Linked DNA regions of Neurospora crassa OR74A. The protein of the gene in region 2 interacts with the protein of the main gene of each other region in a biochemical or structural test. Links are inferred from orthologs where the notes say so. Each region holds a gene or a part of one and is shown on either strand. Other genes may lie near its edges.

What was found.
Region 1: of the proteins of asl-1 (region 2) and os-2, one has a biochemical effect on the other in vitro, tested with the Schizosaccharomyces pombe proteins (5 studies listed by BioGRID). The link is inferred for Neurospora crassa OR74A from reciprocal best matches to the Schizosaccharomyces pombe genes atf1 and sty1.

The regions. Positions count from the first base shown.
Region 1 is NC_026504.1:4,949,252-4,953,713, forward strand, and holds the start of os-2 (mitogen-activated protein kinase), read right to left. Parts: upstream 2,929-4,462; 5' UTR 2,227-2,928; intron 1,938-2,226; 5' UTR 1,618-1,937; coding exon 1,562-1,617; intron 1,502-1,561; coding exon 1,454-1,501; intron 1,382-1,453; coding exon 1,252-1,381; intron 1,186-1,251; coding exon 1,042-1,185; intron 982-1,041; coding exon 625-981; intron 569-624; coding exon 490-568; intron 436-489; coding exon 252-435; intron 192-251; coding exon 113-191; 3' UTR 1-112. UniProt on the Schizosaccharomyces pombe protein: Proline-directed serine/threonine-protein kinase involved in a signal transduction pathway that is activated by changes in the osmolarity of the extracellular environment. Controls osmotic regulation of transcription of target genes.
Region 2 is NC_026505.1:3,718,827-3,723,195, forward strand, and holds the start of asl-1 (ascospore lethal-1), read right to left. Parts: upstream 3,096-4,369; 5' UTR 2,813-3,095; coding exon of another isoform or gene 2,778-2,812; 5' UTR 2,420-2,777; coding exon 2,338-2,419; intron 2,151-2,337; coding exon 914-2,150; intron 857-913; coding exon 538-856; 3' UTR 1-537. Other genes in the region: NCU01346 (hypothetical protein), read left to right, coding at 2,778-2,812, 3,120-3,372.

The DNA.
Region 1 (4,462 bases), on a different chromosome or scaffold from region 2:
CGGTAAGAAATCATGTGGCATGATGTCGTGGTATCATGAAGCCAGGGGACTTCTACTCCACCCCTGTGTTGAAGATTCGGCGCCATGTCTCGGACCCTGCCGTTGCCGTGTTTTATTGCGGCGGAACATCTTCCTGGAACATCATTTGCCCCGAGGCTTCGACGTTGTGATAGTCCAGGATCTCGGAGTACCTGTGATTCAGTTAGTGGTGTGTGGTTCTCAACTCATCATATTGATGCGGTGAAACTCACATCATGATCTTCCATGTGTCGACCGGGAGATCAGCATCATTGAAACTCCAATCGAACTTCTCCTCGGCAACCGGCTCGTCGGTGGGGTCGTGGTAAGGAGCAAGGTACTCGTGTGAAAGGGCCTCGGTGGCAGTTATCCGCTTCTTAGGGTCAAAGACAAGCATGCGCTCGAGCAGATCGACGGCTAAGACAGGTCAGCATCTTGTGTATCCGGCGATGGCCAGCGGCTGAGACGTACCTGATGAATCGGCGTTCTTGAACTTATTCTTCAGGGGCTGACGCTCGCGCTTGGGAAGGGACTTGACGAATCTCAGGGTCTGACGGAGAGTTAGTGACGGTGTCGCAGAGCCTTCAGCAGAGTGGGGGTACACACGTTCTCGCTAGCAATCGTGTTGATGACATCGTCTGGGGGAGTGCCGAGAAGCTCGGTGATGATGGAGAACTGGTTGACATGGTCCTTGCCAGGGAAGAGGGGCTTGCCCTCCAGCATCTCGGCGAAAATGCAGCCGGCACTCCAGATATCGACCTCGACGTCGTACTTTTGCCAAGTGAGCATGATCTCGGGGGCGCGGTAGTAACGAGTAGAAACGTAGCCCGTCATCTGAGGATCCTGGATACGCGCAAGGCCGAAATCGCAAATCTTCAAGTCGCAATTCTCGTTGACCAGGATGTTACTTGGCTTCAGGTCACGGTGGACAACACCGGCGGAGTGAACGTATTTGAGACCGCGCTAATCCTGGAGTTAGTGGCTACCGTCGTTTTCATGCGACATTGACAGGGGATGACTTACCATAATCTGGTACAGGAAGTACTGGATAAACTGCTTCTCAAGAGGCCTGGACGTAAGAAGTCTGTGAAGATCGGTTCCGAGAAGCTCGGTAACAAAGTAGATATCCTCGAGAGGAGAGATGAAGATATCGCTCAGAGAGATGACCTGTTGCGCAAGCATGTTAGTCGCGTGGTTCCCAATTGCTTGTGCAATGGAATCTGGTAGACCAACGTTTTCGTGCCTCAAGTGCTTGAGAAGCTTCAGCTCACGGTACGTGCGTTTGGCAAGGACCGGTGTGCTGAAGGGCTTCATAATCTTCTTGATGGCGACATTCTGGTTGGTGAGCTGGTCTTTCGCGGAGCTGCGCAGCGGTCATCATTATTAGCTGGGTGCGTCTGGCGGATGTGACCAGATAGCGAAGCGGAAAACATACCAGACAAGACCAAAGGCTCCCATGCCAACAGGCTGGAGATCGGAATACCTATCGCGGGATCAGACTAGAGCGCATAATGACAGAAGGGTTCGTCGCGGGGAGGCCAACCTCGAGGTGATCTCAAAGGTAGTTCCGAAGATCTGGGCGCGGATAAATTCGGCCATTGTGATGTGTGGTGTTGATGTTACAGAACAAAGGACGGAGTGAGGATTGCTGGAAGACGAAGTAGCCCTGTCTCTGGTGGGAGCGCGGGGCAAGCTGAATGGGCCGAGTGTCACAAACACAGGTCAAACGCGAGGTTTGATTCAGTGGCGGCAGTGAGGCGATCCGGTGATCGGGCGCTTTGTGTTTTTTGTGTAAGGGAGACTGAGGAGACGGACGACGTCGGCTGGGGTCGGATGTTGCCTGCGTAGTGCGCACAATAAGGGGATCGGGCAAAGGCTGAGAACGAAGTCCTGAAGGCGAACCGAAAACTTTTGTTTGTCTTGGGAAGAAAATATCAGCTTGGGCACCGAGAGCAAAAGTGCCTGGAACGAAAAAGCGAAAGGGAGAGAGAGCGGGTGGGAGCCGAATGCAAGTGGACGCAATGGACAGAAAAAGGAATCCATCCCACTTCCAATCCCTCTCCAGCGCAACCTCCAGCTGGGCAGCTCAATGGCTCGCAGTGGACAATACAGTGTGCGCCAGGCAGTCGCCAGGGCGGGGAAGTGCGGAGGAGGGAATTGGCCTTTAGTAGCGGTGGACCTTTTTTTGGTGGGTATCCGCTCGCTTACCTGCAGTAGTTCACTAACAGAACTGGGGCTTTTACCCAAATTGACGGGAATTCGGATACCTCTCGGAGGGGCAGCGACACGACAAGGGAAGTGGTGGTTGGCAGGCCGAGGTGCGCGAGGGGATCGATGATTGGGAATGCTGGTGTCCGTCGCAACTCTGTGTCGTACTCGATCCGGAATGATTTTCCTCGTGTCGTGTATATTTTGCTTTTTCGTCGGGCGGTTGGTAGGAAATGTTTTGTGTTGTTGTGTTGTTGTTGTTGTTGTTGTTGTTGTTGTTGTTAAATCTCTCTTGCGATCCAAAGGGCGATTTAAACTAAGAAACTGAAGGCCCCGCACTTTCCGACGATGGACTGTTTCTTCACACTTGGCGAGTTTAGTCGAGCTGAGGTCAAAGTCGAATCCTATCAACCGAGCAATATCGCGATGGGTGGTGGCTGAGGCGTGTATAGGTCCGAGACTGAGAAAAGACCAACGCGCAGAACACGACAGGTTTGAAGAGGAGAGAAAGCAGAGAAGGGACGTATGAGGAAGATGAGGAGCGAAAGCGCAGATGATAAAAGAAGGGAAAAAAGAAAAGCGAAGGGGCTACGAGCAGTAAATAGTGTACACGGTCAAGTCTGTTGGCACTTGGACCTGAACCTGAATCTGAACACACGCACACCCGATGAGCCAGGCAAGGGTGCATGAAGACGCAGCGAGGATGGAACGGGAGGCCGGGCTCACGGGCAAGGAAGTAGGAGGAACAGCTCGAAACGGTTAATGCGCTACCAGGAGAGGGCCGGCAACTTCCAATAGGGAAGAGGCCAGAGCATGGAGGACCGACCAGCATGGAGAGCTGGCACCACCCTAGGTACCCTGGCGGTACATCGGCGACCGTCCTCGAGACCAGGAACACGACGCCGGGACTGGAGAACAGGATAGGTATGCTGAATTTCCGTCTTGTTCAAATTCCATGCTCTGGTTCATCCATTTTCCGCTTTCTCTTTTCTGTCGTTGGTTGGGTACCTGTACCTGTCCCCTCCCTCCCCTTTGAGTCCTCCCCTCCTTGGTGTGTCTCGCGCGTTCTGCATACATACATATATACCACCATCCACCACTAACTGGTGCTAATTTCCAAATGGATGTTCCTGTTGTGTCTGATCTGCCGTTAACTGTCTCTGTTAATGCAGGGACATTTGAAAAGGTGAAGATAGCCTCAATGGATGCCATGGATGTCAGGTTGATGTCTTTTTAGGTGCAGCTTATATGCGCAAGTCAAGCAATCATCCCTTCCAACTGCTTGCAGGTGTCTTCCCTTAACCCCGCAACTTGGCCCGCGGTGGTTTCCCATAACGCTGGGTCCTTGAGGTTGTCGTGTTACTCTAAACCCTTCGTTCAGTCAAATGCTCATCACAACCATTTCACAAACTACCTACGTTCGCCAGTCATCTGATAGTGCATAGTAGTCAAGTAGAGTAAGGTAGGTAGGTAGACATGGTGCCAAGACTAGGTGCCAGACGGGCCAGACGGGCCAGACGAGGGGAGCGAGGGGGACAACGAGGGAGATGCCCGCTCTTACAACCTCCAGAAGGCTATGACGTAGTTGAGGGGTGGGGCTCATGAGCGTTAACCAGCGCTAACCACGACCCCTTGTCGCCGACACATGCCAAAAGACCCACTCCCGCTCGGCCTGGCAGGCATTCGCAAGCCATCGCAAGCCATCGGCCGTTTTGCTGAGCCCCTCCATTTCCCATGGTCCTCTCCAAATCGCGAATTTGGGTGCAATCGGACTTTGATCGAGTAATTCAGCCAATAGTCCATTTGGCGGTGACTAGTCCTAGCGCAGAGTCGACCATTGATGTTGACACCCTTTCTTTCCCTTGCTAGAAAATTGGGATTAAAAAAATAGAAAAATGAAATAGGTAGAAATCGAATCGGCCGTCCCTCCGACCGCTGTCGACGAACCAAGCATAAAGCCGCAGTCACGCGCGGCTTCCTGGTCCCGAAGCACACTACCATTTGAACTTGAGTGCTATGATTTCAAGAAAAGCAGTCACTGTCAGATCGACAAGAAGGGCGATAAACAGGTTGTCAGTGAACGTGTCTGGAGGAAAAGGTCCGGGTTGTGGAACACGAAGGGATTCACAATGCATACACTACACACTTGCCTCGCCGTTTGGGAGATTTTCATATCAACGGAGTCATACCCTGGCGATCTGGATCAGGATGCTTAAAGTTCTTCCAACCAGGCAAG
Region 2 (4,369 bases):
CTGTCCAGCCGTGTCCAGGTTCCTCCTCTCCTGCCACACCAAAAAGAGACAAGATAAAAAGAAAGGTTAAAAATAAAAGCTAACAAAAAAGCAGCCCGAAACACCAGTGACGCCGGTTTTTGTATGCCCTCAAGACACCACATAGATACACAGACTAATGGCCAGAGGTAATGGTGCTGCACCGATTCAGGAGACCCTTAGCCACCCCTGGGTTTCCATGAACTTGACTAGCAAGATGCCTACTGGCTAGAACTCATACAATGCAGAGAATGGAAATGACTGTCCTTTGTTGTTTATGGTGCAGTCTCTAGAATCCGAACGTCGTAAGAATGTCGCGCCCCCCGTTTTGCACGCCGCCCAATGTTATTAACAGAAAGGACAGCCCGCGAATGGTCGGACCCAGTTGAGGTTGGATGGTAATTATCGTCAACGTGGGTGACATCCGAAAGGTCAAGTAGGTTAAGAAGACGACCCTCCTTGTCGGGAATCGTTGCCTGTTTCATCATCCAATATTGTCTCAACCTCCGCACCCCATCGCTATGAGAATCGGCGAGGAGCAACATTCGGCGGCATGCCGACGGGCTGATTAGGTATGCCAGCTCCCATACCGTAGGGGTTCATCTGGTGACTAAATGGCTCGATGGCTTGCTGCATGAACGCACCATGGAGACCTTGCTGTTGCGTCACTGGACAGTCCTTGTGTGCGAGTAAAAGTGTCTTGAGATTGACCACTTCTTCCCGAAGCTGTGTTATTGTTGCAGTAAGGGCGTCATTCTCTGAACTGAACATCTCCACCTTTTGCTGGAGGTTAGCGAGCCACTGTTTCTTACGCTGCCGACATTTCAGAGCGGCAACCCTGCAAACTGTTAGTATCAAGTGTTTTCCAATGGCTAACATAACGAGTTTCACATACCTGTTCCGCTCCAGGAAGTTCTTGCGCTTTTCTTCTTCCGTCATCTTGGACTTTGAGCCCGTTCCGTCATCCTTGCCTGGCTTCGACTCGTCTTCCGAGCCTGAGTAGTCCATACCGTTGAGTGAAGAAACAGATCCGTTTGTCTTGGTCTTTTTATTGGCTGGAGTCTTGGCCGGAGTTTCTTCAGCCTTGCGACGGGAACCCGTCGTCGCTGCGCTTGTGGAGTTACGCTTCCCTTTGCCACGGGTATTAGGCCTGGCAAGTTCACTGTCGTCTGACCCGATGCTAACTTCACTGACACCACGTGCTGAGCTTCCTGCAATGGATACGTTCCCATTCATTTGTGGTGACGTGTTAACTGGTTGCACAGGAGGAGCCGGCACAGTGTGCGGGTGACTTGATGGAGGTGGCGGAGGTGCCGACACCACGTTAAATGATTGGCTTGGTGGCTGAGATGCGTTTCGTCCCTGTGCTAACATGAAAAGACCATTTGCCGCGTCGTTATCATGCGGGTCAAAGGGTCCAGTCGGTGGCTTCGTCTCAGGCTTCAGAGGCGGAATGCCATTGGGGAGATCGGAGGCGGGTTGTGACGTAATCGATGGCGGTTGCGATTGTTGTTGATGCTGATGTGCTGCTTGTTGTTGGGCCTGGGCCTGAGCTTGGGCCTTGGCGGCAGCGGCACTGATGGCGGTTCGGTGAAAGTCGATGGTTCCAGGCGTGGCAGCAGGGCCGGCAAGTTGTGCAAAGAGAGTCGAGTTAGGACTCGGGGCAGGGAACATAGACCCGCTACCACCAGGCGTCAATCCTGTTCTGAGCGACGATTCGTTTGGCGTTGGGAAACCTCCGCGAATGTGGTCGCCAAAATAATCAGAGGTCGTTGGGCCCGACAGCATTGCCGGACTCAATGGGCCGGATCGCAACGAGTTGCTACCGCCCCAGGGGAAAGGTGTTGAGCCAGGAGGCAAGATGGATGATGGGGACGCTAGGGCGGCGACGGGCGGGAGTTTAGTACCGCCGGGCGTTTCGGGGGCACCACCGAAGGATTGCTCAAATGGGTTCGGCTCCAGGCTCAGGGAGCCGCTGATGGGGTTCTGCGAGAAGTAGTCGGAAGGGCTGTTCGTGGACTGTTGTTGCGCAGCGGGACGGGGCGGAGGCGCGAGTGGTTTGGCTGGTTCGGCATTGGTCGTCGACTCGGATGGCTTCAGGGGAGGTTCATGCTTCGATTCGGGGTGGCCATCTAGATGTGCAAAAATTGAGTTGGCAACGATGTCTCTCTTGATATACGGTACGAGCCGTTGACTCTTTCTCTATCTCTCTATCCTCCCTCTGCAGGGACGTAACGCGATAGCAGACGGGACGACAGGGTGCTCGACGACGGGAATAGATGATGACGGTCGTGACAGGGAAGAAGCGACTCTACTCACCTTGTCGCGGTGGGGATGTCTTGTTGGATTGCTTGGGTGATTTGGACTCACCTCGGCCAGCGGCTCCAGTAGACGACCCCATGATGTCAATCCAAAACTTGCGGCGCCTTCGTGCTGCAACGGGTGCGGGTGCGGATGCGAGCGACCAGAGGCCAGAGGGACACGACGGGGTGGGAAGGGAAAGTTGCGGACGACTATGAGGTCACAAAGGCGCAAGAGAGAAAGTGTAGGTAGAGGGCTGCACGCTATGTTCGTAATGCAGCGTCCTGTCCGCCTCGCGGCTGCGTTGCTAGTATCGGGGATCGTAAATACCTTACGTAGTTCCTCGCAACAAGGTGTTTCGTATGTGTGTGTGTGTGGAAGGAGAAAAGTCGAAGGTCAGGACTTGGGACAGACGTCAGGTATGACGTGGGAAAAGAGATGGCGCAAGGGAAATAAAAATGATGGGGCCCGCTCCCCGTCCAAGGCCCAGTGAGTAAGCACTGAGTGGCTAGTTGCCAGGTGCCAATCAGGGCAGCCAGAAGAGGGCCACGACCGAGGACTGAGCGCCGGGTTGAAGATACCCGACCCCCTGTTCGCCGGTTAGAGGTATTACTAAACAAAGGCCAAGGGGTCTGTTTTTTTTTTCCCTTTCCTTCTCGGTTTGGGGGGGTGAAAGTAAGCGCGCGACAAGGAAAAGAGAACTTGACGGGACCGCAAGAGAGTCCCAAAAAGAATTCCGACAAGGCGAGAATCGAAGGGGCTTCAGTTTTGGCAGCTCGGAACGCTATCTTTGGGGCTAGGAAAGAAACCGCACAAAACTCGGTTGGTGGGAGGGAAAAGTGGATGATGGATGGGATGGATACCCGTCAGAAAGGTGTGAAATGGGCCGGCATTTTGCGCACTGTCAACCCCGTGGAGGCTGCAGACTTAGAAAATGGTTCTTGTATCGAGACAGCCAAACAGGAGGCTCCAAGAAACAACCACCGACCGGGATCTGAGTGGGACACACTCCACGGCAGTACCAGCAAGCACAGTCTCAAGCTGAAAGTCTGAACTGTACCTCGAAGTATGTATTGACTTCGGTGTTATTTCCCATACATTGATTCTTCCATCTCGACAAACGGGATTAACTCACCTAACAGGCTGGATAAACTGGGTAATTCCATAGGTACCTGATCTTGTCCCTTCCCTTTTCATTTGGATGTATTCTTGAAGTGTCGTCTCGGCTCGAAGCTAGCCATGTGTTGTCGGCTCTAGAACGTGTACGGTAGTGCATGAATGGAGTAACTTGTCGACTTTGGAATGGATTCAGCCTGCCTGAAGACTGCTTGGGTCAGCATACCTCTGCGCACACAGTCGAGGATTGATGTCTGACGAGTATATGATGGAAGGCTTCCAGGAAGTCCCAAGAGCATGGCTCTTGTGGTGAGTCCTCACAAAACCCGAGAGCAGTCGAGTTTGGTTCTTCGTTTTTTGCGACAACAAGAGGATGCTGGTATGTACATCTGCAATCGCAAACCGGCAGCGCATATTGATTGAGACATTTGCGTTCCATGTCATAAACCGTTGAGGTGGGCAAAATGTCTCTTAAGTCGTGGGTGAACAGGGATATGCCTTGGAAGCCAGCCAGGGCACACAATTGCGGCATGTCTGCCATGGCAGGCGTGTCGTTATTTTGCCAATTGCCCGACCTGTCTTTCCCAAATTGTTGGAAACTGTTTCATACTTTGTTTACGCTGCATCTTTCTTTACATCTTTGAGTTCCACCACAGGCATTGATCATAAGAAAAGCCGCAAGAGATGTCGGCCGAGGGCTCTCAACTAGGTGGTAAATATTCTGTTACATTTTTGGCACTTTTTTTCCCATTTGGGCAGAAATAGACCCAAAAAAACCTGGTCAAAACTCGTAAATTGTTAGTGCATAGAAGTGCCTCTACCGGTAGGTTCCGATCTTTCGTTCGACTTCTCGTTCCTTTCTATGCTTTTTGACACAGAAAGCTGCAAAGATTTTTGCATGCACGATTTTTGGATCCAGCAAATCACTCAAAAA